7 linked regions of the Macaca mulatta genome follow. The protein of the gene in region 5 purifies or fractionates together with the protein of the main gene of each other region. This does not show direct contact. Links are inferred from orthologs where the notes say so. Each region holds a gene or a part of one and is shown on either strand. Other genes may lie near its edges.

What was found.
Region 1: the proteins of ACTL6A (region 5) and SMARCB1 purify together in Homo sapiens (affinity purification with mass spectrometry; 11 studies listed by BioGRID and IntAct, with this or other methods). This does not show direct contact. The link is inferred for Macaca mulatta from reciprocal best matches to the Homo sapiens genes ACTL6A and SMARCB1.
Region 2: the proteins of ACTL6A (region 5) and KAT5 purify together in Homo sapiens (affinity purification with mass spectrometry; 6 studies listed by BioGRID and IntAct, with this or other methods). This does not show direct contact. The link is inferred for Macaca mulatta from reciprocal best matches to the Homo sapiens genes ACTL6A and KAT5.
Region 3: the proteins of ACTL6A (region 5) and MORF4L2 purify together in Homo sapiens (affinity purification with mass spectrometry; 5 studies listed by BioGRID and IntAct, with this or other methods). This does not show direct contact. The link is inferred for Macaca mulatta from reciprocal best matches to the Homo sapiens genes ACTL6A and MORF4L2.
Region 4: the proteins of ACTL6A (region 5) and SMARCD3 purify together in Homo sapiens (affinity purification with mass spectrometry; 3 studies listed by BioGRID and IntAct, with this or other methods). This does not show direct contact. The link is inferred for Macaca mulatta from reciprocal best matches to the Homo sapiens genes ACTL6A and SMARCD3.
Region 6: the proteins of ACTL6A (region 5) and PHF10 purify together in Homo sapiens (affinity purification with mass spectrometry; 3 studies listed by BioGRID and IntAct, with this or other methods). This does not show direct contact. The link is inferred for Macaca mulatta from reciprocal best matches to the Homo sapiens genes ACTL6A and PHF10.
Region 7: the proteins of ACTL6A (region 5) and DPF3 purify together in Homo sapiens (affinity purification with mass spectrometry; 4 studies listed by BioGRID and IntAct, counting the BioPlex papers as one, with this or other methods). This does not show direct contact. The link is inferred for Macaca mulatta from reciprocal best matches to the Homo sapiens genes ACTL6A and DPF3.

The regions. Positions count from the first base shown.
Region 1 is NC_133415.1:27,965,597-27,969,682, forward strand, and holds the start of SMARCB1 (SWI/SNF-related matrix-associated actin-dependent regulator of chromatin subfamily B member 1), read left to right. Parts: upstream 1-1,286; 5' UTR 1,287-1,443; coding exon 1,444-1,536; exon of another isoform or gene 1,537-1,577; intron 1,578-1,881; exon of another isoform or gene 1,882-4,086.
Region 2 is NC_133419.1:8,680,893-8,685,111, forward strand, and holds the start of KAT5 (histone acetyltransferase KAT5), read right to left. Parts: upstream 2,801-4,219; 5' UTR 2,567-2,800; coding exon 2,389-2,566; intron 2,059-2,388; coding exon 1,990-2,058; intron 1,903-1,989; coding exon 1,766-1,902; intron 1,504-1,765; coding exon 1,321-1,503; intron 1,232-1,320; coding exon 1,157-1,231; intron 1,051-1,156; coding exon 976-1,050; intron 330-975; coding exon 81-329; intron 4-80; coding exon 1-3. UniProt on the Homo sapiens protein: Catalytic subunit of the NuA4 histone acetyltransferase complex, a multiprotein complex involved in transcriptional activation of select genes principally by acetylation of nucleosomal histones H2A and H4.
Region 3 is NC_133426.1:110,318,700-110,322,783, forward strand, and holds the start of MORF4L2 (mortality factor 4-like protein 2), read right to left. Parts: upstream 2,801-4,084; 5' UTR 2,736-2,800; intron 1,472-2,735; exon of another isoform or gene 1,395-1,471; intron 35-1,394; 5' UTR 1-34. UniProt on the Homo sapiens protein: Component of the NuA4 histone acetyltransferase complex which is involved in transcriptional activation of select genes principally by acetylation of nucleosomal histone H4 and H2A.
Region 4 is NC_133408.1:190,675,212-190,678,711, forward strand, and holds part of SMARCD3 (SWI/SNF-related matrix-associated actin-dependent regulator of chromatin subfamily D member 3), read right to left. Parts: coding exon 3,318-3,500; intron 1,558-3,317; coding exon 1,515-1,557; intron 696-1,514; coding exon 573-695; intron 456-572; coding exon 333-455; intron 83-332; coding exon 1-82. UniProt on the Homo sapiens protein: Involved in transcriptional activation and repression of select genes by chromatin remodeling (alteration of DNA-nucleosome topology).
Region 5 is NC_133407.1:91,570,826-91,574,942, forward strand, and holds the start of ACTL6A (actin-like protein 6A), read left to right. Parts: upstream 1-1,317; 5' UTR 1,318-1,497; coding exon 1,498-1,522; intron 1,523-1,671; exon of another isoform or gene 1,672-2,046; intron 2,047-4,117.
Region 6 is NC_133409.1:2,313,296-2,316,795, reverse strand, and holds part of PHF10 (PHD finger protein 10), read right to left. Parts: intron 3,354-3,500; coding exon 3,270-3,353; intron 1,724-3,269; coding exon 1,590-1,723; intron 1,492-1,589; coding exon 1,342-1,491; intron 507-1,341; coding exon 397-506; intron 1-396. UniProt on the Homo sapiens protein: Involved in transcription activity regulation by chromatin remodeling. Belongs to the neural progenitors-specific chromatin remodeling complex (npBAF complex) and is required for the proliferation of neural progenitors.
Region 7 is NC_133412.1:146,037,055-146,041,252, reverse strand, and holds the start of DPF3 (zinc finger protein DPF3), read left to right. Parts: upstream 1-1,398; 5' UTR 1,399-1,411; coding exon 1,412-1,443; intron 1,444-1,478; exon of another isoform or gene 1,479-1,623; coding exon of another isoform or gene 1,624-2,032; intron 2,033-2,082; coding exon of another isoform or gene 2,083-2,177; exon of another isoform or gene 2,178-2,316; intron 2,317-4,198. Other genes in the region: uncharacterized protein LOC114679596, read left to right, coding at 1,624-2,032, 2,083-2,177. UniProt on the Homo sapiens protein: Belongs to the neuron-specific chromatin remodeling complex (nBAF complex).

The sequences.
Region 1 (4,086 bases), on a different chromosome or scaffold from region 5:
GGGGGTCCTGGAACCAATTCCCATGGATACTGAGGGATTACTGTACTTTGGTTTCCCACCACTGTGAGGATACTGAACAAAGCAACTTCAGTCACTGCCCTTCCCAACTCTCCAGTGTCTCCTTGCCCTACCTTCCAGCCCCATGTGTGTTTTTGTAATAGCATTTATCATAGTTGCATTTTTTTTTTTTTTTGTAAGAGAGACAGGGTCTCCCTTTGTTGCCCAGGCTGCAGTGCAGTGGTGCAATCAGCTCACTATAACCTTGAACTCCTGGGCTTAAGGGATCTTTCCCACTCCACTTCCCAAGTAGCTGGGGCTACAGGTGCACACCACCATGCTACACCCAGCTTATTTATTTTAAAATTTTTGTAGAGACAGGGTCTTGCTGTCTTGTCCAGTCTGGTCTCAAACTCCTGGCTTCAAGTGATCCTCCCTGCTTTGGCCTCCTAAAGAGTTGGGATTATAGGCATGAGCCACTGAGCCCAGCCACAGCTGCAATTTCATTAGACTGAACCGTATGAAATCATCAGTAGTGGGCCACTGTTTTACTCCCTGCATTATTCAATCAGTTACGTGATTGCTTTGAGACTTTCATTAGTTTCACTAGCTTCAGGCTGTAAGAGCCAAGAGGCAGAGCCGAAGGACTGGGCTGCCTGGTTTCGCTCCCCACCATAGGGCTGGGTTAAGCAGAGTGTGAAGCTAAGAGGGGAATGGAGAAGGTGGAAGGTGTCCCTCCCTTCCAACTCTCGCTCATCTGACGCACCAGCCAAACCAAATACCACCTGGGCCTTTGAACATTGCCAAGCCTCATCTGCTGTTGTCATTTTGCCCACCTCCACAACTGCAGGGACAGCCATAGGCCCGGAACTGGGATATCTGTTCCTAGGGGCCTGCCTATCTGCTCAGCTGCACTGCGTTTTAGGGGTGGGGAAGCTAAGGCAGGAGCCTGGGGTCCCAAAGCATGCCAAGACCACTCAGGCTTCCAGATACTAGGTCCTCCTCCTTCAGGTCTCACTTCATTTCTTTTCCCCTGGGCCAGTTCCAGTCCTGGCTGTAAGACTTGGAAAGCCACTGCTTGACTCAGGACCTCAGTGGCTATTTTTGTCCGTGAGAAGTCCTCTACACCACGACTTGGGAAGCAGCCTGGGAGAAAGAGAAATTAGTCGTGGCTCCTTTAAGGGGTCCGCGGAGGCGCGCCCGGCCTTTTGTTTGAGCGGCGGCGCGCGCGTCAGCGTCAACGCCAGCGCCTGCGCACTGAGGGCGGCCTGGTCGTCGTCTGCGGCGGCGGCTGCGGCTGAGGAGCCCGGCTAAGGCGCCAGTACCCGGCCCGGTCCACATTTTGCCTTCCGGCTTCGGTTTCCCTCGGCCCGGCACGCCCCGGCCCCGCCCCAGCCCTCCCGATCTCTCGCAGCCCGGCTCCAGCCGCCCGCTTCTGCCGCCGCAATGATGATGATGGCGCTGAGCAAGACCTTCGGGCAGAAGCCCGTGAAGTTCCAGCTGGAGGACGACGGCGAGTTCTACATGATCGGCTCCGAGGTAGCCCGCGGCGCGTCCTCGCCCTCCCCGGGCTCGGCCCCGCGGGAGCCCTGGGGCAGGCCCATGCGCCGAGAGCGCGCGTCTCCATTCATCGGGGCGGGCGGGCGCGCGCGCGCTCGGGGCTGCAGGGCGTGGCCTAGTGGGCGTGTCGGGCATGGCCCCCGCCCCCTCATCGACCTGGGATTTCCTTACCCATTTCGCCGAGGTGCGCGATCTGTAGTGCTACCAGGATTTTGGCGCCGAGAGGGTCCCCAGTGGTTCCGCGCTGGGTTGGTTTCCAGCCAGACGCAAATTAACGAGATATTGAGTTAGCTCCTGCGATGCTTGGGGGACCGCACTGCTGCCTTTGACCCTTAGATGTTGTAAATTTCACATGCGCCCCTCCTCCTATTGCTACTTGTGGGAACCTGAAATGGCAGACTGGAAACCCCGGACTTAGTGAGGGCTCATCCCCATTGTGTTTGTTGCCTCTAAGGTGGGCAGTGGAGGTGTTTTGACCTTTTTACCAGTGAAGAAACAGACTGGAGGGTGTTTGCTTTTGGGTGAATAAGGGCCCCATGCCTAAGCCAGATCTTTCAGCAATTCTGAAGCAATTGACACTTTTTCCATATCTGTGAACTGATTCTGAATTGTTACAGCGGAAAGAGCCTAAAAATGTTTAACCCTTAACTAGAGAGGCTGCATTTTGTTGCATCAACTGGATGACTGACTTTAGGAAAACCCTACAACTGGCCTTTAATGGGTGTTTGTTCCCAGTATATTAGGTTCTTGTTTTTCGTTTTTTATAGAGACGGGGTCTTGCTATGTTGCCCAGGGTGGTGTCCAACTCCTGGGCTCAAGCAGTCTGCCTGCCTGGGTCTCCCAAAGTGCTGGGATTACAGGCATGAGCCACCACGCCTGGCCATATATTAGGTTTTTCCAGATTGTCTCAAACTAGCCTTTTTTGCTCCAAAGGCAGTCCCCAGCTAGTATATGTTACCTTTTTAAAAAAATTATGGATATGCAGTTCAGATGTACAAATGTCAAGCAGTGGAGTCTCATGTAAGGAAGTAAGTGCCAATCCTGGAGAATTAAAGCTGTCATGAAATGCAATGAGGCCGGGCGCGGTGGCTCAAGCCTGTAATCCCAGCACTTTGGGAGGCCGAGACGGGCGGATCACGAGGTCAGGAGATCGAGACCATCCTGGCTAACACGGTGAAACCCCGTCTCTACTACAAAATACAAAAAAACTAGCCGGGCGAGGTGGCGGGCGCCTGTAGTCCCAGCTACTCGGGAGGCTGAGGCAGGAGAATGGCATAAACCTGGGAGACGGAGCTTGCAGTGAGCTGAGATCCGGCCACTGTACTCCAGCCTGGGTGACAGAGCGAGACTCCGTCTCAAAAAAAAAAAAAAAAAAGAAATGCAATGAGTTTCTTCTCCTTGTAGCAGTTTTTAGTATCATATTCCAGCATTGTATTCATGCTTTGTTTTATTTTTATTTTTGAAAAAAGGTCTCACTTTGTTATCCAGGCTTTGGTGCAGTCGTGTGATCGCAGCTCACTGCAGCCTTGACCTCCTGGGCTCAAGCGATCCTCTTGCCTCAGCCTCCCAAGTAGCTGGGACTAGAGGTTTGCACCACCATGCCCGACTAATTTTTGTATTTTTTGTAGAGACGGGGTTTTGCCATGTTACCCAGGTTGGTCTTGAATTCCTGGGCTCAAGTGATCCTTGCACCTCAGCCTCTGAAAGTACTGGAATTACAGGTGTGAGCCACCACACTCACACTCAGCGCATTCATACTTTTTAAACTTGCGGGGTTTTTTTTCTTTCACAATTGAGCATAGCATGAATGAATGAAGCCTCAAGATGGTCACACTGAGTCCCATGGATTGAGACTAAGGTCAATAGCATCAGAACTTTAGTGTTAGCATTTTCCACCCTTTTTTTTTTTTTTTTTTTTTTTTTTCCGGACAAGGTCTGACTCTATCACCCAGGCTGGAGTGTAGTGGTGCAATCTTGGCTCACTGCAACCTCTGCCTCCCAGGCGCAGGCCCTCCTCCCACCTCAGTCTCCCAAGTAGCTGGGACTACAGGCTCACACCACCACACCCGGCTAATTTTTGTATTTTTAGTAAAGATGGGGTTTTACCATATTGTCCAGGCTGGTCTTAAACTTGTGAGCTCAAGTGATCTGGCTGCTTCGGCCTCCCAAAGTGCTGGGATTATAGGCATGAGCCACTGTGCCTGGCCTCCATCAATTTTTGTAAAACAAAAAATGCAGGATGCAATAAAATTTTCACGTTGTCACTTAAACTACAACTGTTCAAAGATGTCAGTGCTGGGGAGGTGGAGCCAGTGCCTGTCCATCTGCCACAGTTCAGAATGGTCCTCATTGGCTGGTAGGCACCTGCCTAACTGCAGAATGCAAAAGGCTGTTGAATTTCAATACTAGGCGAATTGTTTACCTGATCTAATGGGTGTAAAAGTAATCAGTTTGGAGGGGAGAGGGGAGGGATTGCATTGGGAGTTATACCTCATGTAAATGAGGAGTTGATGGGTGCAGCACACCAAC
Region 2 (4,219 bases), on a different chromosome or scaffold from region 5:
GGTCTGGAGAAGAGAGGACAGTCAGGAACAAGGGCAACGTGGAGAGTGCTGGGAAGGCAGCTTCCCTGGACCCCTCATACCAAGTGACGCTGAAGACACTTGAGGCTACGGCCGTACTTGAGGCAGAACTCGCACAGGTAGAGAACAGGCAATGTGGTGAGCTCCTGTGGGTACGGGGAGAAGTACCACGGCTTGAGGCGGTGCCGGCCCAGCTCAATGCACTCGATGTTCTTCATCCGGGTGACGATGTCGTCGTGGCTTCGGTCAGACACCAGGCTGCCAGTCATGCGTGGTGCTGATGGTATTCCATCTGAGCTGTCCTGGGAGTCCTGCCCAGGGCCAGTGGAAAATACCAGGTTAGAAGAGACAGCTCAGCAGGACACCACAGCTCACAGCCCTTTGACAGGTTTCCTGCAAGCCTAACAGCAACCCTATGGGGGAGGTACCATGATCCCCAATTTCTGGATAAAAAACCTGAAACCCTAAGGGATTGATGATGTGGAAAAGATCACTGAATGACCCTTGTTTTTGAGATGGAGTCTCACTCCGTTGCCCAGGCTGGAGTACAGTGGCATGATCTTGGCTCACTGCAACCTCTACCTCTGGGGTTCAAGCAATTCTCCTGCCTCAGCTTTCTGAGTAGCTGGGATTATAGGTGCCTGCCACTACGCCTGGCTAATTGTTGTATTTTTATTAGAGACAAGGTTTCACCATGTTCGTCAGGCTGGTCTCGAACTCCTGACCTCAGGTGATCTGCCCGCCTTGGTTGGCCTCCCAAAGTGCTGGGATTACAGGTATGAGCCATGGCACCCAGCCCCAATGACTCATTTGAACCATGTTCTGCCTGGCTCCTAATCCCACCAACACTAGCCCCGCCTACCACCCCTTCTTTATTTTTAAACTCATCACTAACTCTCCACCCTGCTTGCATCCCTTCCTTTTCACCCAGCTCCTTCTGTTGCTCCCCAGACCCACCTCATCAGTGCCCAAACAATTCGATTTTCGCTTCCGTCCTGGCTGGGCTGCCACTGCCCTACGGGCTGCTCCATTCTGCAGATATAGTAGTAAAAGAAGGGATGGCTGTGAGATGAGCCTGAAAAAGGCCACCAGAGAGTAGAAGAGAGAAAGGGAACAAGAAATGGTTTGGGAAACTCACCTGGGGAAAAACCGAGGCCGGGGCTGTCTCGCTGGGCACTGGAGTTGCTGGTGAAACCACCTCCACCTTCCGTTTCTGCAGAGAGAAACCAACAAAGGTGGGTCAGAAGGTAGAGAAGGTGGGACCTGAGAAGAAAGCAAGGTCCCTGGAATTGCTGAGGGTACCGTTGAGCGGTGGTTGGGCTGCAGGCAGGAGCTGGAGGAGAGCGGCTGGTCAGGCTCGCCACCGGGAATGGCCTCCCGCTCCTTGGGCAGGTTGAAGCGGAGTGTGATCTGGACCGGGATTGGCAAGGTCTTCCCGCTTGCCTGGGCCGAGGCCGGCTGTAGAGATAGGTCCAGGGTCTTCCTCTGGGGCGGGGATGGCAGTGGAATGGGGAAGGGGAACAGGGGTCCCTCAGCTCAAAATTATCAAACCCCACCCTCGCCTTCTGAAGGACACAGGACTAGCTACTGGACTCTGGGAGCTACATGTGCAATTCGGCCCCCATCCTTTGCAAGATGAAGTCAGGGTGAGAGGGAGCCGCCTACTGCCCATCCAGGAGCCCCTAATGCCAACAGATAAGAGAAACACGAGGCAGGAGAGAAGAGGTGAAGTGGGGGACCTACTCACCACCTCTCTCTCTGGAGAGCCGGGACGGGACCCAGGAAGTCCGTTCTTGGTGGGGGTCTTGGCCTCTTTCTTCGGGAACTGGATCTTCTTTAGGTCCAGCCGCTCGTGCGTCACCCATTCATCCAGACGTTTGTTGACTGCAGCAGTGGGGATGGCTCAGGACAGAATGCCAAAGACTGTTCCCCAACCCTACCCTGATGCCCCACCTCAGGCCCAGAACTCACAGTCAATGTAATGGACGTAGAAAAGCTTCCGGCCACTGATGTCCTTCACGCTCAGGATCTCAGCCAGGGCTATGGGAATAGCATAGGCAGGGGCCTTAGACGGGCCGGGCCAGGCTGAGACTCCACCCTTCCACGACCTGAACTCCACCCCAAGGCCGGATCCCTAAGCTCCAGCACTTAGAAGGTCTCTCCTAAGTCTCCTTCAGTCACTACTGCCACCCCTTTCCAGGCCCCGCCCTGTACCTCTCGGAGCAGCTAAGAGCCACGCCCCTTCATGGGAGTATCTGCGCCCCGCCCGCCCCATAATTCCAGAGGCCCCTCCCCATCCCGGGGGTTCAGTTGACTCCCTCCCGCCCCTCGCCCTCAGGTTCCTTAGCCCCGCCCCCCAACGTCACTCACGCCACTCATCTTCGTTGTCCTGGTTCCGCCGCAGCACGGGTAGGCGGCAGCCCTCGATTATCTCCCCCTGGGGAGACAGCGCGGCGCCAGGGTCGGCTACTGGGGGGCCTCGGGCTCTACCCACCTCCCCTGGCTCCCTCCGCCCCGCCCCGGGCACCGGACTCACCACCTCCGCCATCTTCCCTCCCTCCACTGCCACTTCCGGCCCCTGTGGGAGACGTCACTTCCGGGACCGAGCCCGCTGTAGGCCCGGGCCTCACGAAGCCCCTGTAGAGGGGGACCTTTGAGAGTCACCGCGACCCAGTTGCAAGGGGCAAGACTGCCCCTGTGACTCCTGGGAAAACGAAGTGTTACAAGCCTCAGGCCGAGTCCTAGGTGGAAACCCCACAACGTGCACAGCGATTGGAGAACTACTGAGTCTGTCACGTGACGCCCACCGGGTGCGACGCTGTTCACGTGGATGCGGAGCGGGTCACGTGGCAATACCGTTTGGGCTTTGACGGAGGGCAGTCCTCGGGCGTCTCCTTGTGGCGGCGGGAGGTGTTGTCGGGAGTGAACTGCGCGCGAGAGGCTGGAGAAAGGAACTGTGCTTAGAGGGGCTCGAACGCTCCCCCAGGTCTGTGGACTTCATTCCGTAGGCAGGAGGACTCAGGGAAGATTTCTAGCTTTATTTCGTGTATTAGGCTTCTTTTATTTTTGAGACGGAGTCTCGCTCTGTCGCCAGGCTGGAGTGCAGTGGCGCCATCTCGGCTCCCTGCAACCTCCGCCTCCCGGGTTCAAGCGAATATTCCTGTCTCAGCCTCCAGAGTACCCAGCTAATATTTGTATTTTCAATAGAGGCGGAGTTTCACCATGTTGGCCAGGATGGTCTGGATCTCTTGACCTCGTGATCCGCCCGCCTCGGCCTCCCAAAGTGCTGGGATTACAGGCGTGAGCCAGGGCGCCCAGCCATATTAGGCTTTTTTTTTGAAACAAGGTCTGTGTCGCCCAGGCTGGAGTGCAGCGGGGGAGGCATAATCTCCGCTCACTGAAGCCTCCGCCTCCCTGGATCAAGTGATCCACCTCAGGCTCCTGAGTAGCTGGGACTACAGGCGCGCACTACCAAGGCTGGCTAATTTTTAAAAATTTTTGCGTAAACAGGATTTGGAGACTGGGCATGGTGGCTCACACCTGAAATCCCAGCTACCTCCAGCCTAATCATGAGAAAAAGATCAGACAAATACCAATTGAGAAACATTCTACAAAATACCCCATGAATACTCCTCAGAACTGTGAAGATGTCACTGGTGGAGGGTGTCCAGATTCTTGGCATCTTAAAGAATTGGACAAAACGGCTGGGCGCGGTGGCTCACGCCTGTAATCCCAGCACTTTGAGAGGCCGAGGCGGGCGGATCACGAAGTCAGGAGATCGAGATCATCCTGGCCAACACGGTGAAACCCCGTCTCTACAAAAAAAAAAAAAAAAAAAAAAAGATACAAAAAATTAGCCGGGCGTTTTGGCGGGCATCTGTGGTCCCAGCTACTCGGGAGGCTGAGGCAGGAGAATGGCCTGAACCTGGGAGGCGGAGTGTGCAGTGAGCCGAGATCATGTCACTACACTCCAGCCTGGCTGACAGAGCGAGACTCTGTCTCAAAAAAAAAAAAAAAAACAGAAAAAGAAGAACAAAAGAATTGGTCAAAACGCACAAAGCAAGGAAGGAATGAACGATTTATTGAAAATGAAAGTACACTCCAGTGTGGGGGCCGGCTGACCATAGGGGCCAGTTACAGGATTTGTTGGAGTTTAAATACTCTTGGGTACTTGGGATACGCCCTGTGTAAATGAAGAGGA
Region 3 (4,084 bases), on a different chromosome or scaffold from region 5:
ACTATACAGCAAACTTAGCTTTTCTGATGGTGACCTAGAAGGTCAAACAAAAGGACAGGAAAGGACATAAAATAAAAAGATATGAGATATGGCTTTCTTCTACATCAGCCAATGCAATTTCATCACACACAAAGGACACCAAAGCTGATAAATAATGTACAAGTATTTCTTTTTCCTTTCTTGTGGCTACATTTTCAAATTTAACTTATTGTATATTTATATAATTTCTGACAATTTTTTTAACTTTTCCTTAAAGATAATTTCAAATGGATGAAATAAAAGAATAGTATTACAAACCTACACGAATCCATCATCCAGCTTTCAACAATTACCAACTGAAGGCCATCTTGTTTCATCTATAACCCCACCCACTGCTCCCCCCCACCCCCGACTTTTTCAAGCTCACGGGAATATCTGACTTCTGTATTTTATTATACAAAAATTTAAACGTATACCAAGGAAAGCAGATTAATATACGGAACCCACTGCCTATCACTCAGCAAAAACTATTATTAATTTAGGGTCAATTTTGTTTCATCTATACCCCTCCCCATTTCCCCCTACCGCTTAGATTATTTTGAAGCAAATCCTAGTCATTAATGTATTTAGAAGCCAATCCCAGACATTATATTATTTAATCCGTAAATATTTTCGTATATGTCTCTACAAAAAAGGACAATTTGAAAACATAATCACAATACTACTGTGACGCCTAAAAAAATTGACATCAATTCCTTAAAAAACATCAAATATCGAATCCATGTTCCAATTTTCCCGATGCGTCTTAAACATATTTTTACAGTTGGTGTGTTCGATTCAGGATCCAAACAAGGCCTACTCATCGCATGTGGTTCATCTCCAGCTCGCTCTCGTTCTCCATCTCTTTCTTTCTCGCACTCCACCCCCCCACCTTTTATTTAACTTTTCAACATGGGAAAATTACAATCTCTGCAATTTTGAGGCAATTCCCAAAGAGCAAATTATTTCATTGGTAAAAATTGATATATCTCTTTTATCTTTAATTTATTCTAGGAAAGAAGTTGATGGCAGAAAGGGCACTACAATTAGCGAATTTATATAATTTATAATTTTTCTCATTCTATTACGTGTATTATTTATCTCCATAACAATAGCTAATATCTTCAGGGGCCAGGCTTCATATTACGTGCCTTATACGCACCATTATACAGTACACGTCTCTGAGGTAGATACTATTATTATCACCATTTTACAAACATGGAAACCGAGACACAGAAAGAACAGGAGCCTTGCCCAAGCTGGGCGTTGGCGAGCAGGAATCTGAATCCAGCTCTGACCGATTGTGAAGGAACTAGCTAATCCCGTCTATACCCGACGAAAAGAGGAAATCATCGACCCTTTCTCCCCACCCCCACCCCGAAACCTGAAACGAGAATCCAGATCTTCCCAGCAGACGACGTGTGATCACTGCCGTTCCTCCAACCGCCATAGTAAAGCCAGGTTTCTCTGGCAACTGATATCCATAGGCAGACACGTCACCCTGGAGGAGGGCGTATGCCCTTCAGCCAATCACAATCGTCTTGTCTAAGTTTTAGAATGTTCCATAACCAAATGATTGGACAACCACCCCCACGTCAGCAATGACACTTCGCCGCAGTAAAGGCGGGTGCTAGCAACCTGCTTCTTCACTGTTAAGGCCTACAGCAAACCAATCCTCTTCCTCCGTCAGTGCGAGTTCCGGCCAATGACGTTCGCCCTCTTAGGTTTTTAGCCCGCCCTCCAAAAGCGTGACAGCCGTTGGGTCATAAGTCTATAGGGCAGAATGTTCACGTGGCCTATTTCACGACCCAGAGTTCCTCTGACCAGAAGGTTTTTTTTTTTTTCCTTTTCCTTTTTTTTTTTTTTTTAATTTTTTTCCTGCAGGGAGGCATTATGGGTTTGTGTTTCCCCCCAGCCCCCCACTGGGAGAGGAAGTGTCTACGTGGCCTGCGGAAATAGGCGGAAATGAGCTAAGGTTCCCGCGAGTGGGGAAGCGCGAGGTCAAATCTGGAGCCACGCCCCCAGGCCTGTGGCGCAACTCCCCGAACATGGAAAAAAAAGGCGCAGTGGGGGGTTCTGCTGTGTTTGCGAGTTAGGGTCGTGAGTGCAACGGGCGCAAGGCATTAAGGCCAGTGTGTTAGTGCGCGGGCAGGCTCGAGTGCCCCTGGGGTTGCTGTGTGAGCGGCCCTCGTGGCGCTGGAGGTGATGTGTTTGCGCAGGCGTGCGCCCCTGGCGTCTGGACTGGTGAGAGCCACGGCGCGCGCCCGCGTGCGTGATTGGGGTGGGAGTTGCGGGGAGGGGTTAGCTACTGCGCGCAGGTTATCTATTTCTGTATTTTGTTTGAAAATGTTCTAATGAAAATGAAAATAAATAATTAAGGCAAGGCGACAATAACAGAGATAAAGGGGCACTGTCAGAAATATTTTGGCTTTCCCTGATTTAAATACTCCTCTGTGCCAAAATCCGGTCGTAAACCACAGCCCTCCAATGATTCAGAGCCAAAGCCTTCCATCGTCACATTAGCAACTCCAAAGGGAGACTTCTTTCAAGTTGTCTAGTATCCTCCTCCCTCCCCTCTTCCACACCTCCCCCCTCCCTTCAAGGTTGCGTGCAGTTCTCTTGGCACAAATACAATTTTCCTATGAGAATATCTATCTATGACAGCCTTCCCCTCCGTTAGAGACTCCGGATTTTTATGGTGACTAGGGCGCTCTTACCTTTGCGTCCTGATCTCCAAGCAAGCACACTGACCTTCTTCAGGCAAATACGCACTGTTAATTTTCCAGAAAGTTCTGTGGGTAAGGTTTATACCTCTCGAGTTCGCCACTAGATGCCGCCAAATCCCAGCAAAGGATTGGCTGTGTGGTCCCTGGGATTCTGGGATTTTGTTTCCCTCCCCCCTCCCCTTTCTTGATTTGCTGAACGCTAATATCTAAGGCATCATTGATATCGTTCATTCCTAGGAAAAAATAAAATCAGCTTCTGTGAATAGCACTAGTAGTCAGGGAACTGTGACCCAAGATCCAAATAATTTTACTCATTTCTTTCCTTTTCTCCTTGGGTGGGGGGGCGGGGGGGAAGGCCCCTCTCCATCCCTCGCTTCTTTTGTCCTTGCCTTGTTTAATCAAAGAGTTAATGAATGACCCAAGCACTGATGCTGAAGATCCTAACCCTTTTTCCTCACCTTTTCAAATGCTCGCAACTCACCCAAACTGAAAATACAGATAGCTGTTACTTTAGTAAAGAGATAAGAACTCATCAGTAAAACTTGGACCCTGGTATTGAAAACTGATTTTCCTTTTCTCTTGAAATTTGTATCAGATATGTGTGTTTGCACCCTATTTTCTGTAGTGGTATTGATAGACTTTATTGTGTCTTTGGAGTAAGAGAAAGAGACTTAATTGTTAACCTCATTCCACCACTTACTAGTCTCAGTACCCTGGGCAAATGATTTATGTTCTGTGATCCTCAGTTTTTTGTATGCTTTCTATATTTTAGATGCTGTGTTATATCCTTCATGTCGATTTTTTTTTTAATTTATCACCAAGTCCTTATTAGATGAGCAGTACTAGATCAAAGTCAAACAACAAAAATCATACCCCTTTCAATTATCTATCTTATATACTTGTACACAAGAGGGATTTTTTTAGAGCAGTGGTTCACAAGATGTGTTTCCTGGATGTACCAGAAACATCAGCATCACCTGAAAAATTGTCAGAAATTCACATTCTCAGGTCCCACCTCAAACTTAATGAATCAGAAGTTCTCACGGTGGGGTTTGGTAATCTGTGTTATTACAAACTATCCCAGTGATTCCAGCACACACTGAAGTTTGAGAACCACTGCTTTGGAGAGTAGAAATGCAATGCATATTTTTGTATACACCACTAGAGGGTGCTACAGAATGTAAAGCAAAATAATAAATGATGCACAGTATATGTTTTCACACACCATCCATATTATCAGTCCTATTTTACAGATTGAAAACTAATGTGTAGAGATGTCAAATTATTTTCTTAGTGCACACAACAAGTATGGGAACCAGGATTTGAACTTCACCTGCCTC
Region 4 (3,500 bases), on a different chromosome or scaffold from region 5:
TGTCAGGACCATAAAGATCTTTGTCCAGCTCGATGACCAAACTCTTGAAGAAAGAAGAGAACTTCCGCTTCTGTTTGCTGGGCTGTGGGAGAGGAACAGGAACCATGGGGGCAGAACAGGGACAGGGTGGGAGAAGCAGAAGGAGGCCAAGTTGGCAGCAGACAGGGCAGTGGGCTTAGATGAAATCCTCTGCACCTGGAATGTCTCTAGGCCTGCCCCCACCTCCCCAGCCTGGGCTGACTCCCTAGCCCTTAGTGCAGACACTTTGTTCTGTTCTCAGTGCAGCCCGTGCCCACCCCAGGACACCTGGAGAGACCTGGGCCGGGACGTACATCATCCAGGAGCTTCCCCTCCACCCGTAGCTCCCAGGAGGCAATGCTGCCATCGGAGTCCTCAGCGTCAGGCTTCGCAGGGTTAAAAGTGTTGGAGATATAGAGACGCAGCTTCCGCTTTTGCTGTAGAAATAGAGTGTAGAACCTGGCAAATGCTGTGTGCTTCCACCCTGACTACCTTGCTTCCCCATCCTGGTCACGCGACTCAAGAGTCCCCTTCCTACCCCCGAACTAAGGCACCTTCATGGGCCTCTTCAGAGCCTCCTGGATGTCCACCCGCTTCCGCATGATGGTTTGATCCAGTTTCCTCTCAAATGCCAAGAGGTCCATGTAAGCCTGGGACTCGGGGACCAGCTCCCGAATCTGGAGGAGGAGGAGCAGGGCAGGAGTCAGAGGCTCGAGTCCAGGGTTGTACCATGGAATGTATGCATGTTGTGCAATCCTAGGGTGCAAAAGATGTCGGGGGAGCCATCCTACTTCTGGGCATGGAGCTTTGACAGTGGGAACAGGACCTCTCCCCAGGATGCCATTATCCAGCAGTAGGGGCCTTGCTGTGTAGGGATAACAATTGCTTCTCCCTTTAGGAAGAGCCTTGTGTATCATCACGGGGAGGAGGTAGCAACTGTGGAACCCAGCAAAGCACTAGCCTTTAGTCTCCTCATCCTGTCATTTTCTATGTCATATGCCCACTGGGCTTCCCCTGGGCCCCTGCAAAGTGCCTAGTAGGGGCTCAATCCCTGGGACAGTTGGACAGCAGTGCTTTCTTCTTTGCTGGCACATTGCTCAGCCCCCACACCTGTCCCAACTGTGCTGTCCCCCATATCCAGCTGGACCTGGGTCCCTTTAGGATGCTCAGGATCTCTGGCCACCTTCTATCCCCTTCATTCTGCCTGGCAGCTTTTGATCCCCTAGCTCTTGCCCCCTTCTTGTCCCACAACTCTGTCTTAGTACCACTTGGATCCAGCCCCCTGACAGGCCCCTGTGTTCTGGCCCCAGTGGCTCTGCTGCTTCCCTCCACCTCACCCCCTCCCTCTGGCCTAGGGAGCCTCACTTACTAATGAGTTTTTTTAAACAAAAAGTGAAAGTGACTGTGACACTGAAGCTCTGCTTTTGAGGGGGGAGGGGAGGGCAGAGCAGCAAAGGGTAGGGGGTGGGCTGGGGGCTGCTGTGAAAGACACTCACCCTTTGAGGGAGGATTTTGTCAGCCATCTTCCTCCTCTTGGCACTGTACATTTTTTAAAGAAAAAACCAGGTTACCATGGCGACAGATCTGGGAGTAACGAGGCCACCTGCTAAATTATCCCGACATCTCCGCCCGCCTGGCTGGGGTTCCCACAGCCCGCTTGTCTGCCCGCCCAAGGGCTATGACGGTGGTGTGTGGAACTGGTGCTCTGTCCTCTCTAAGGACACAGGGGTGACCCGTCCATTCTCTGGCCTGGGAGCCCCCTTCTAACCTGCCACATCCTTAGGGACAGAGAAATTTAGACTTAGGAGGGACTGGCGAGTGGGGGTGGTGCTGCCAAAAGATGGGAGCTGCAGAAGTGTTTGAGGAAAGGTGGGGATGAGGGAGGACAAAGGAGAGGGAAGCCAGGTCTGAGGACCTTTTCTGGAAAGCAGGGGGTGCCCTGTCCAAAGGATTCTAAGCTCAGAGGGAGGGAGATAGACGACTTCCTTCCTATCCATGGAGCGGGAGGTGATGGTGTGAAGCTGGCGGGACTTGCATCCCTTCCAGGCACCCTGGGCTTGCAAGAGAATGCTGATGAGCAGGGGTACTCATGCCCTGGGACTACCTGGCAACAAGGTGAGGGACATGCTGCAGCCATAGGCGCCCAGAATGTGCATGGGTGTGACTTCAGGCTGAGGCCAAACTGACTAGGCCCAGGGTAGTAGCAGCTGGATGTGAGCTCTTTCTGACCCACTAGCTGCTGCTGACTAACCCAAAAACCCCCAGAAAAACCTTGGCGGGTCAAGAGATGAAAACGCAGCCTAGAGAATAGCTCCATACTGCCCCCGTGTGGTGTTCTCAACCACTACCCCCTCCCTATGCAGAAATCTAAGGCTAACAAGCAGATTTCATTAAAGGTCTGGTTTGTTTTAGACAGATTATCTTTGTGTAACTCTCCATTTATACAAGATAAATCAGGGAATTACCGTTTGCTGTACAAAATGACGATGCACTTTACAAAATAATTCATCATGGGATTCCTATAAGTGGTGAATTTTACCTGATGTGTAAAAAATACTTAATAATGAGGTAAAATTGATATTACACCTTTTATAGAAATCCATCTGTTGTGCAAAAAAAGCATGTGTATTTGGCTAAATACTGAAATCCAGAGGGGCACTGCTGTTGCCAGGAGCCAGCAGGGGCTTTAAGGGTGCCACCAGCTGCTGGAGGAAAATAAGGCAATGGGCTGGCCCTGGTGGCTTGGGAGCAGACCTGGTCCAGAGTGCCTAAGAATTAAGAGCGGAACTGGGCAGAGACCACCTACCACAGGGCAAATCCCCAAGCTCCACCCCCAGGGCCAGAGAGTCCCATTGAGAAAATCTGGAGTGGCTTTGAAACAGTCCGGGGTCTGGCAGGAAGGCTCAGCGGAGAACTACACTTTGGGCAACACAGTCCTACAGCTCTGCCCTCAGTCCCACTGGAAGCCCCGCCCCCAACCCAAAGACTGAAGCATCACCCAGAACCTGATGGGTGGAGAGAGGGACTGAGCAGGTGACAAGGAGAAGGGTGAGGGGAACGTGCAGGGAAGCGGTACCGGCTGCCGACGGCCACAGCCTGTCTCTACCGTGGGCACACAAAAGAATCAGGCCGGTGCCCCCTAAGCCCACCTCCCCAGAGGGCATCCGATCCGGGAAGCCTCGCTCCCTGCTAATCATTCTTCCTCACCTCTTCCAATCCCCGCTACTCTCTCACCTGGTCCCTGCGGGTCCCCAGGGCCCGCCCCTGCACGCCCCCTCCGCGCCGGGCCTCCCACTCACCTGCGGCTCCGCGCGGGGGCGGTGGGCACCGGCTGGCCCTGGCTCTGTGCCTGGCTCTGCCCGGGCGGGGGCGCTGCTCGCTTACGGGCGGGCTCCATGCCCGCGGGGGCCAGGCCGGGTCGCACGGCGGGGCTGCCCATGTAGGGGGAGCCCGGGGGGCCCATGGGCGCCCCCTGGTGGGGC
Region 5 (4,117 bases):
TCCTCACGGAGTCCCTCGTTTCCAGGCCCCACGTTTGGGCGCCACGAGTCCCGGCCCACGGGATTGTCAAAGCAGGCCCTGGAAGAGGGGGTGGGAATTTGGGGAACAAGAGACACGAGAAATGGAGACAAGACAGTATCCTGATCAAGTCTCGTTTAATGGCGGTAATGCAATGCCTTATATACATTTGGAGGGGAAGGGGTTGGGCTAAGGCGGAAATTACCTAAAAAAGGAAGGCGTGGCCAGATAAGCCTCGGTTTCTCCGGTCGGACGTCATGTTGCGCCTGCGCAGTCAGGTAGTCTTGTCCCAGGCGCGGGAAAAAAGAATGAAAAAGAAGCAGGAAGAGCGCCATCTTTTAATGGCGGTATTAATACAGGGAAGAAGGTAAATCTAGGGAGAAGATGTGGGGTGGAAATGAATATAGCTCAGGCATTTAATCTTTAATGATTATTCACTATGGCCGGGCGTGCAGCTCCGGACACTTCACCTCCTGGGTTCAAGCGATTCTCCTGCCTCAGCCTCCCAAGTAGCTGGGACTACAGGTGTGTGCCACCACGCCCAGCTAATTTTCGTATTTTTAGTAGAGACGGGGTTTCACTGTGTTGACCAGGCTGGTCTCGAACTCCTGACCTCGTGATCTACCCGCCTCGGCCTCCCAAAGTGCTGGGATTACACGGGTGAGCCACCACACCCGGCCTGAAATTTTTTTTTTTTTTTTAAGAAATTGATTTTTTAAATCGTTTTTAAAGCGCTACCTAGGTTTAGCTGGGATAATGCATCATTTCATTCTTCTTTTACTTATTAATAACCATTTTAAAAATTACAAGATCCTATCAATTTGTCTGATTTACTGATTCCCCTATCCCAAAGTGGAGCGCAAAATTTTTATTTCTTCAACCTAAAGTTAGTTTAAAATACTTTTTCTGAAGAAAAAAAGAAAGAAATCCACATTGCCCACAGTCACTGGACAGGAATCTCAGCGTGGAGACACACGTTCAATTTCCAGAAGTCTACCTTCCCCTACCCAGGTTCCCGCAGCTCCTCAGCGCCCAGCCGCACCTCTTACGCCCCTCCCATGCTTCCCTCCAGCCTTCCTCCTTCTTCTCCCACTGCCTCCGCCCACTCTCTCGCCCACCCGGGAAGCTCCGCCCGCTTCAGCTCCGCAACCCAACTCCTTCTGTCCGGCTGTCGCTTTCCTCTTTCCCCGCCCCCATGGCTGCCTTCGATTGGCTAAACCTGCTGGGCCGCGGCGGGGATGCGGCGCAGCCGCATTCTGATTGACTAAACGTAGGCCTGGACCCTCGTGATTGGCTGATAGGAGGAGACAGCAAGTGTAGCTGAGCTCCGGGGTGTGTGGACGCCGCTTTGTTGCCTGAGGGGGGTGGCGGTGGAAGTTAAGGGAGTCAGGGGCTATCGCTTCTCGGGACTCGCAGTCGCGGCCACTGCAGTCACTTCTCCAGTTAGCCCTTAGGGTAGGGGTCGCGCCGGCAGCAGCCATGAGCGGCGGCGTGTACGGGGGAGGTGAGTGAGTGCGGCCGGAGGAGAGAGCGCGCGTTTTCGGCGTGTGGGGTTTGTAACCGCCGCTCCCAGCCCTCCCCTCCTCGGCGTTCCCTTCCGGTTTCCCCCTCTCGGGACCCCGGCCTCCCCGCCCCATCCCCGCCCCACGCTCTGCCCGCCCCCGGAGCCCACCAGGCTCGGCCAGCGCCTCGGGCGCCCTGGAGTGGCGGCTCTCTGTGGCCGGTTCCTGCCTCTGCCCCCGGAGAAGCAGGGTTTTGGGATGCACGCTCGTTTCTCTAGAGAGCCTCGGGGCTGGGCGGGAAGCTCAGTCCAGCCGGCCGCCGGGCCCCGGGTTGCGTTACCGCCCCAGGGTCGCATCTCCACGAGTGCCTCCTGGACTCGGCTGTGTCGGGGCGCATGTGCTCGCGCCTAAACTTGGAAGGTCCCGGCGGTTTGCAAGCGTGGACGGAGGGTTCCCAGAGCGTCTCACAGGTGGCAATGCGAGCCTCAAGCCGTAGAACTGACTAGGGAAGCGGCGGCCACTTAGGGTACTGCCTCCTCCCTGTCTGTGCCCCATGCGCGAGCTGCCTCACCTTTCAGTAACTCCTGCCTGTTTGTTGGCTGCGGAGTCTCCAGAGTGACTCGTGGGCGGGTCTGTTTGAGATTAATTCAGGAGCACGTGTAGTTTAAGGATGCCCAGAAAGTTTGCCGGGGGTCCTAGGCGTCTTGTTTTTTCACTTATCCTTGATTAGACTGGTGTGGCAGAAAGATTACCAGGTGCGGGGGGTTACAGACCTGAGTTGAAATATCCGCCTCACTGTTGAGCGCTTTGGTCTTAGGCAATTTACATAATTTTCCAACTTCAGGCCTCATTTGTGGAATAATTCCTAGCCAATGGGGATGGGCGTAAAGGTTAAATGAAATAATGCTACATTTGCCACTTAAAGTCTGGTCCATGGACCAGCAGTGTCAGCATCACCTGCAAGCCTCTTAGAAATGCAGAATCTCACGCGTCATTCAAAATCTACTGATTTAGAGCCTCCATTTTTGCAAGATCTGCAGGTGAATCAAAACACTGATACATATAATTAATGTTTTGGGTTGTGTTTGATGAGTTAGAGACCCAGAAAACAAATCCAGACTATTGCTATTGTTGCTGTGTCTAGTAGTGATGCTGTTTCTATAAAGGATGTCATTTTACAGGTAAGATACAACAAAAATAAGATTTTTCCTTCATGTTCCCCAAGAAAATCACATCACCCCTAAACTTGGAAGGAGAAAAACATTTAAATCCTCAAAAAAGAAAAAAAGCCTTTTTAGTAGAATAGAGGTTCAATTCTTTTTTTTTTTTTTTTTTTTTTGAGACGGAGTCTCGCTCTGTCGCCCGGGCTGGAGTGGGCTGGAGTGCAGTGGCCGGGTTTACGTCATTCTCCTGCCTCAGCCTCCCGAGTAGCTGGGACTACAGGCACCCGCCACCTCGCCTGGCTAGTTTTTCTGTATTTTTTAGTAGAGACGGGGTTTCACCGTGTTAGCCAGGATGGCCTCGATCTCCTGACCTCGTGATCCGCCCGTCTCGGCCTCCCAAAGTGCTGAGATTACAGGCTTGAGCCCCCGCGCCCGGCCGAGGTTCAATTCTTGAGGATTTTTATACACTAGAAATTGCATCCTAGGTTTTAAACATCCAGAACTCTGTGGTTCTTTCTACTAAGCCTCCTGCCTCCCATTGCCACTCTCCTACTTAGGGTTCATGGGGCTTGATTTTTAATGAAGCAGGGTACAGGAATTAGATGTATCTCCCATCCTGAAAAAGGAACAGATGTAAAATTCTAAGAATTTAGAGTCTTAAATTAAACTTCCACCATATCCAGTTTACTAATTAGGGCAGGAAAATGAGCTGATATGTTGGATTTTTTTCTATTTCACAAAAATGTTTTTTGAGCACTATGTGGCAGGTATAGGCTGTTGTCATCAAGAAGTTCAGTCTTGTAGATGAATCCGTTAGGTAAATAGACACCATATTTCACCGATTCTTAATTGTACATTTTTCCCACATTTAAACAGCTGAAGTTGGAATATGTCTTTTGTTTGTTTGTTTGTTTTTAATAGAGACGGGTCTTGAACTCCTGAGCTCAGGCAGTCCTCCCGCCTCAGCCTCCCAAAGTGCTAGGATTACAGGTTTGAGCCACTGCCCCCAGCCGGAATATGTCTCAGTAGTGCTGGCCTGGCAGAGTTTTAATTGCCATATTATTTTCTTAGTGATGCCGGAAATAGTGGTGCATCATGTAGTTGATAGCATCTTATATTGATCAGAAATGGTAACTGTAATTCAATGAGAGCTGTTCATTGATAACAATATGTAGAAGGGGCCAGGTGCGGTGGCTCACACCTGTAATCCCAACAACTTGGGAGGCTGAGGCGGGCGGATCACTTGAGGCCAGGAGTTCAAGATCAACCTGGCCAACATGACAAAACCCTGTCTCTACTAAAAATACAAAAATTAGCCAGGCATGGTGGCACATGCCTGGAGTCCCAGCTACTGGGGAGGCTGAGGCACAAGAATCACTTGAACCCGGAACTGCACTCCAGCCTGGGTGACAGAGCAGGACTGTATCCTAAAAA
Region 6 (3,500 bases), on a different chromosome or scaffold from region 5:
ATTATACAGACATCTGTTAAAATGCAGACTTTGAGTCACAGGTCTAGAATTGGGCCTGAGATTCTGCATTTCCAACAAGCTTCTGAGCAATAATAGTGCTCTGGACCACAGAACATACCCTGAGCAGTGAGGTGCTATAGAACTCCCAGCATCTGTCTCTGACAAACCCAAACAAAATAGGCAGAGACAGAGGCATCCAGATTTCATCAGCATATATTCAAATTCCGACTACAGGGTGTTGTTTACCACAGAACCAGAGAAGAACAGCAACACAAATCCTATATAGTATCTTATGGTGATATCTATAGACCCCATAATTGTTAGGAGGCAAGTACAAAAGGCTCTGAAACCCCTTACCAATAGCCAATACCAAGTGTAACTAAAACTACTAAATACCTTTTATAATATTCCTGGAACTGTCCGGGGATGAGAGCCACTGGGTAAGAACTGACCTTTGTTCGCTCTGTTGGCAAAACTTTGTACTTCCCTTGAGGCACCTGGATAACCTATGTTAACATAAAGAGAAACACAAAACTGATTCCATGCTAAGAATCAAGGTTTTAGGAAGAGTCCCCACATGCTCTCCACTGCACGCCCACTTCTCCCTAGAAAAGCTAGAATTTTAAGAGATATTGGGAGCTATAACCTAAGAGGACAGTTGGTGCTTTCAATTCTATATATTATCGTTTCAGAGGCCTATTCTCCTGAGGAATGGCAATGGATCTCTTGCTCGCTACTTAACAGCAGAGTGATCTAGGTAGCTTATACGACCTCTCTGTAGCTCAATTTCTTTATGAAATGGAAGTAATCCTAGTTCCAACCTCACATGGTTACTGTGAGAATTAACATGCAAATCTCTTTTAAAAACTCTTGGGACACATAGCAAGTATGATATGTAGCAATTATTAGTCTCATTTAGTAGAACTATCAACCATAAAGCAAAAGACATCTCACAAAAAAATGTAAATTGAGTATTATTAAGCACAGCATTAAAACTAGTATCTCAACTTCCGAGGAGGAAAAAAACACATGGCCAACATGGTAAAACCCCATCTCTACTAAAAATACAAAAAATTAGCTGGGTGTGGTGGCAGGCGCCTGTAATGCCAGCTACTGGGGAGGCTGAGGCAGGAACATCGCCTGAACCCGGGAGGTGGAGGTTGCAGCAAGTCAAGATCACGCCACTGAACTCCAGCCTGGGCTACAGAGTGAGACTCCGCCAAAAAAAAAAAAAAAAAAAAAAAAAGGTGGTACAAAAAATAATGATAAAGGGGGTAATCGGCACTCTGCAATAACAAGTAATAAACTAAGTTCAGGGGTACTAAATTTAAGTTATCCTACATGTGTCTGCAAGTCAAAATAAGCTCTTCTTTCTTCCATGCGTTCCCGGTTTAAGTTGCTATTAAATTCAGCTGCCTTTTTGGCAGCTTTCTTAATATACTCAGGCACTTTACTGGCTTCAACTTTCTGAGTATTCTGTTGTTGCATTTGCTGGAAAAAAAAATATACAGTTGGAAGTCACATACAACTTTATAAAATGTCATTCTCCCCAACCCAAATAAAAAATGCCAGTCACCTCAATTACTTACAGAATACTCTTTATAATGGTCTGTAATTCGTTGACGTTCTTTTTCTTGTAGAATAACAGAATACTCAGCATGTTTGGCTGGATATTCTTTTATCATTAAATCAATCACTTCATCACTGCGCAATGCTGTTAAACCTATTTTAGACCAAAAAATAAAAAAATAAAGAAGCTCTTTTAAGGATAAGTGAACAAAAGCACTCTTCAAAATTTACTTCTTCAAACCGCTCCACATTTTAATGGTTTTCAAATAGCCAAAGCAAAATATCTTAGTACATTGGAAAATAATTAAACTTAATATTAATAATATAAACTCAAGCAATTAAAAGATTATCTTGCAAAAGGCAAATATATCAATTTTTCAATCAAACAATTTTATTTTTAAGATTTTTTGTGCTTTGAACATATATCCCTTTAGTTAGAAACAACTGTTAAATAATGAAATGCACTATTAACAAGTACTACAGAATACTGGATGAATAAAAGAAAAAAATTCGTTGCATTAAAATGTTTGTGAAAGAAAGATTACAAATAAAGCACGGACATAATTATACAGAACTAACAACTGAACAAAATTTGCCTTTTTGCATTTTAGAGATGTGATCTCGTCATCTTGCCCAGCTGGAGTGCAGTGGCTATTCACAGACATGATCACAGCATACTACAACCCCAAACTCCTGTGTTCCAGTGATCCTCCTCCCTCAGTCTCCCAAGTAGCTGGGACTACAGACACACACCATGCACTCAGCAAAGAACCTACGACTTAAAAAAGAAAATTGTACAAGCTTTGCACACAAAATACAAACACTCTGAAAACTCTGTAAAAATTATTAGACAAGGGCTGGGCGTGGTGGCTCATGCCTGTAATCCCAGCACTTTGGGAGACCAAGGCGGGTGGATCGTAAGGTCAGGAGTTCAAGACCAGCCTGGCCAATGTGGTGAAACCTTGTCTCTAATAAAAATACAAAAATTAGCCGGGTGTGATGGCGTGCGCCTGTAGTCCCAGCTACTAGGTAGGCTGAGGGAGGAGAATTCCTTGAACCCGGGAGATGGAGGTTGCGGTGAGCTGAGATCGCGCCACTGCACTCCAACCTGGGGAACAGAGCAAGACTCTGTGTCAAAAAAAATTAGACAATTATACTCTGTTATAGAATAGAGGTTGATCCTTGACTTGCAATGGGGTTACATATGATAAACCCATCCTAAGTTGAAACTATCCTAAAAAGAAAAAGCATTTAATACACCTAACCTACCACACATCTTTGCTTACCCTAGCCTACCTTAAACCTGCTCAGAAGACTTACATTAGCCTACAGCTAGGCAAAATCATCTAACACAAATTTTAATATAAAGTGTTGAATATGTCATGTGATTTGTTACATATTATACTGAAATGAAAAGAAGAATGGTTGTATAGACACTTGAAGTATGGTTTCTACTGAATATGCATTACTTTCACACCATCATGAAGCTGAACCGTAAGTCAGGAATCACATGTGTGAACGTTCAAGCTTTAATCTCCTGTGCATTTTAACAATAATAAAAAATGAAGTAAATAATGTAGCATTTAAATAGTTCAATTTATTTTACTAATTTTGTAAAATATTTTAGGAAAGAACATACTTATCCAATATCATCTCATAAATGTTCAGCTTGAAAAATTCACATTAAAAGCTATTCTTACCTAGAGTGCACTGAGTTTCAGTAATGACATTTAGTTCTCTCAGGTAGAGTTTCTCCTTGTGAGACAAATCTCGTCGCTCTAAATCTCCAAAAAAAAGATCAAAAGACTATTAAAAACAGCAAAACCTTATGCATTTGTAAACCTTTTAAAAGCTTAAAAAGCTTGATTTTTTAAAATATTCATATTACATATTCCAAATATTATTAAAGGGGCAACAAAAAATATTACAAA
Region 7 (4,198 bases), on a different chromosome or scaffold from region 5:
TTTCTGTTTATCTGTAAATCTAATAGCGTATGTAGTTGAACTCTTGAAATTCTGGAATGTTTATTTTATTTTATTCATTGTCTTGAGAGGAGCAAAAGGAAGTGAGAGGGCATAGCTTTGAACTGGCAATTTGGCAACTTCTCTCCCCTTGCCACCCCTCCCCCACTATCTTAGCTATTTGACCTGATTAAACAGCTTTGGAATGGTAGCCAGACTTCTGTATGCTAACGAGGCCCCTACCCTATTATCGATTTAATGCGATTTCATCCACGCAGAGCTTCCCGGTGCCCAGTGGAAGCCTGACTTCGCAGAAGTCTCCCAATTTTGTCAGGGGCTCGCCAGTGAAGAGTTCACACTGACTTGAAGCAGACACAGACTCTTTGGACGCCTCGGGTCACATCGGATTATTCACTAGCAAATTCTTTCCACCTTCTAAGTAGTGAAAGGTGACGTCAGAATCGCGTGTGCCACTCCTCTAAAGGGACTCTGACAACACCCAGTCCAGGCTCTACGACTTCTGCCTAGGCACTTGCTTCCTAGTAGTAGAAAGTTTCCAAAGGTTGCCTGAAGTCCTCCCTACCTCTAAGCCTAAAGGTCAGAGCTCCAGGTCGCACCACCGAGCAGGAATCTGAGCATTTTGGAAGTTTCTGGTGTAGGGAGCAGAACAGAAGGGGTGGTAGCGGCGGACCGCGCAGAGTAACCCCCCTGCACTACGTAAAGAAAGCCCTGGCTGCAGGAGGGAGTGAGCCTGACATTGAGGCATTCCAGGGGGAGGGTGAGTTGCTGTCCTGGAGTCGCCAGGAACAGCAGCGGCAGTTCCAAGAAGCGAGAGAGGAAGGTGGCGGAGATAAAGAGAACACTTCGGGAATAAGAATATTAAAAAGCAGCAGGACCCAGAGCATTAGCAAACGGCAAAGCACACGAAGTAATTTGTTACACGAAACGGCAGCCTTCCAACTTTTGTACTGAAACACGGGGATTTACCCTTTGGGGGATTAAAAATGTTGATATGCAAAGCCAAAAGCTAATGAATAGGATTCAGTGGCTTGCTGGCAATATTGAAATATTTCTGTCCAGGAGCGCAAACTCTGCAGTTATTTAGAAAAGTAGGGAGTTGAACCAAACTATAATATTCTCCCGTGCGTCTCCACTTTCCCCAGCCCGAAAAGGAGCTGCCAACGCGGTACTTCCCCTTTAAGACCTGCTGGCTCTCGGGCTCTACAAAAGGGAGTGACCTCTGGGCTTTGACAGCTCCCCTAATAACTACCACCGAGCAGGCCCCGCCCACCTGGCGACCAGCCGCGCCGATTGGCCGGCGGGCCGGTATCCCGCGCTCTGATTGGCCTGTCGCTTCCCCTGAGCGAACCTTTAGAACTCTGAGACAGACAATATTCTGTTACATTGTAGCAAAATGGCGACTGTCATTCACAACCCCCTGAAAGCGTAAGTAAGACTAAAAAATGTACATATTCCGCGTGGTTTCAATATGAAAAAAAAGGCGCCTTCTGCGTGGCGAGCGCTGCCAGTGCTTGCGCTTGCAGGCGCCTCCAGCCGCGGCGGGGCTTCTCTCTTCTTTCAGCTCTTACTTCTTTTTTTTCCCCCAACGCGCAGAAATGTCAGGAGATGCAATTAACAAGAAGAAAATTGTTACATTTGTGTTCTGCTAAATTGCAGAGAGAGCGAGAGATAGGGGTTGCCGGCGGAGGAGCCCGGCGCTCGAGCGCTCTACAGCAGGGGGGTCGCGGGAGCTCGGGGACAGCGCGGTCCCTGGAGTCCCCCGCCTCGCGGGCAGGGAGCGAGGCTCCGGGGGCGGCCGGGCGGGGGGCGAGCGTCGGGCCGGGACTGCCTCGGTGCACTTGGCCGAGCCCTGCACCCCCAAGCCCGCGGCCCCCGCCCCGCCGCTGGGTCTGCTGGGTCCGGCGGACGCACCGCGGAGGCTCCGGAGTTTGCAGGGCGCTCTTCGCCTTCCGATCGCTCGCGGGGAGTTTGTGCAAACCTTCCGGAGTTGGGAGCACCGAGGGGGAAGCAGCGGGTCCCGGGCGCGCTGGGTCCCAGGTGGTCGCCCCGGGCTTTCCCCGGCAGCCCCCGGATCTCGGAGGCGCTCCGGGCGACCGCGCGTGTGTCTGCTCGTGTGTTTGCGAGCAACCTGGCTGCAGTGGATTAACGACTCGGGTTAACTTGGGGTGGATTTGGAGGCAGGGAAGCCGCAGGTCTTATGAATGGTGTTCTCGCCACCTCTGGGTGAGGCGCCGAGGCAGGCGGAGAGGCGGTTTTGGGGCTCCTGGCCCGAGGGGGCAGCGTCTGCTCCCGGCCGGGCGAGGGGCAGGTGCCTCTGGCCGCCCCGGGGAGACTTTGAGCGCTTGTCCAGATCCTGGACAGAGTGGGGCGGGCCGGGCGAGCACTCGCGGGGGCCAGCCCCGGGTCCAACAGCCAATTTCTGCCTGCCTGCCTGCCTTCCTCCTCCTTTTCATCCTGGCTTCCTTCCTTCCTTCCTTCCAGTCGGTGGAACTGTTAAGCCGCCAAGTCCGCTCGCGATCGCGGAGCCAAGGGTGGCCTCGGAAAACTAGTGTCGCTCTGAAAGGGGTGCTATTGGGTGATGTCGGCAGAGGGTGGCTCCCTCCGTATTCGAGGTGGGCTGGGGGTCCGCACCCCTTCGACCGGGACTTCCCCGCCCGGACGAAGCCGCAGGCAAAGAGGGGGAGAGGGAGGTGCGGGCCGGGTAGGGGGCGGTTCGTGCCGAATTCTCCCTGGTGCGTGGCCACTGTCGACCCTGCTTCTTTTAATTCAGCGCATTCTCGTCTTCACCCCTCGCCACTCCTGGAGTTGAAAACCAGGTTCGCTCCCGGAGACGGTAGGGGGGTTCCTAACGCAAAGGAATGCACAGGGAGAATCAGACGTGTTTGCACCAGCTCGTCGCCCACCAGAAATAGGGAAACGGGTAGGAATGCCCCAGGTTTCAAAGATATTTATATGAAAGCTGCCGTTAAGAGGACGTTGGAAGCTGAGGCTGAGCAGATAGGAGCTCCCGGCTTCAGTTCTGCCTCGGAAGCTCGGATACACTGCACTTGAACGCCACAGCGTTTCATCCAAGAAAGAAAATGTTTTATGGCAGAATAAATGGGCGTAACTTCGCCGCATCCTCGCTGCCGGTTGCTTTCGCTGCAACACCGCTGATGCTGTCTCTACCGAACCCACAACTGATTTGCAGTTTCCCCATATCCAGCCGAAATCACATAACCAGGCTGATGCCACCTGGTAAACTCAAGTTAGAGAATCTATTTCACATGTGCACCAGGTTTGTTTCCTACTGGGAAAGCCGTACCCTACTTACCCGGGAGCCCGCTTTCGCGCGGGCGGGCGCAGTATCTCTAAGCTTCAGTGTTCCCCTGCTCGCTCCAGGGTTTTTTTGGATCACAGTAGGGTGCGCGTTTGGGGAGGGAGTCTGTGTAGGGTGGGGTTAAGGGTGGGGGAAGGGACAGACGGGGGGAAAGAAGGTGGTGGAATCCCGGCTGGTTAGGGGAATTAGTTCTGAATTGTACTTTGTATAATTAGAAACAGTTGCAATGTGATGTATTTGTAATTGTGCCGCCACACGCATGCACACACTAGCATACACACAACGCCCCTGCTTGCTTTTTCTAGGTGGGAGTTGAGTGGTCATTTATAATTAGCCATTCCTTTCTGCTTCCCAGACCCTTTCCCTGGGGGTAAAGGGGTGTAAACAATACCCCTGACCAGCCCAGCCTCTCACACCCTGGACAGTTTTTAACTCCTAATGCAGGAGCACACACGTTGTTATTGGGAGACGGACACCATCTGCCTTTTTTTTTTTTTTAAACAACTTGTTTAATAAAACATCTTATATATTTCATTTGTTTTTAAAAGTTGCTGATCAGGAAACAATACAAACGTGAATAAATTATGCATGGGATAAATTAGAACAAAGTGCAGAGACACATCCAGCCGAAGGGATGGTGGTGGTGCAGGGAGGAGGGGTAGCGGAGAGAATGGTTTGGAGAGCTATGTTTTTATCCTCATGTGTCCCTCCTGACAATGAAACAGAGCTGAATGACATTAGCATTTTCTCTGTGTGCGTTCTGAGTCTCTCTCTTCCCTCCAAAAAAAAAAAAAAAAAGCCAACACCACGGACGCCCCCTACAGAAAATGGTCACACAAAGGTTTCCTCAGGATGGGGGAT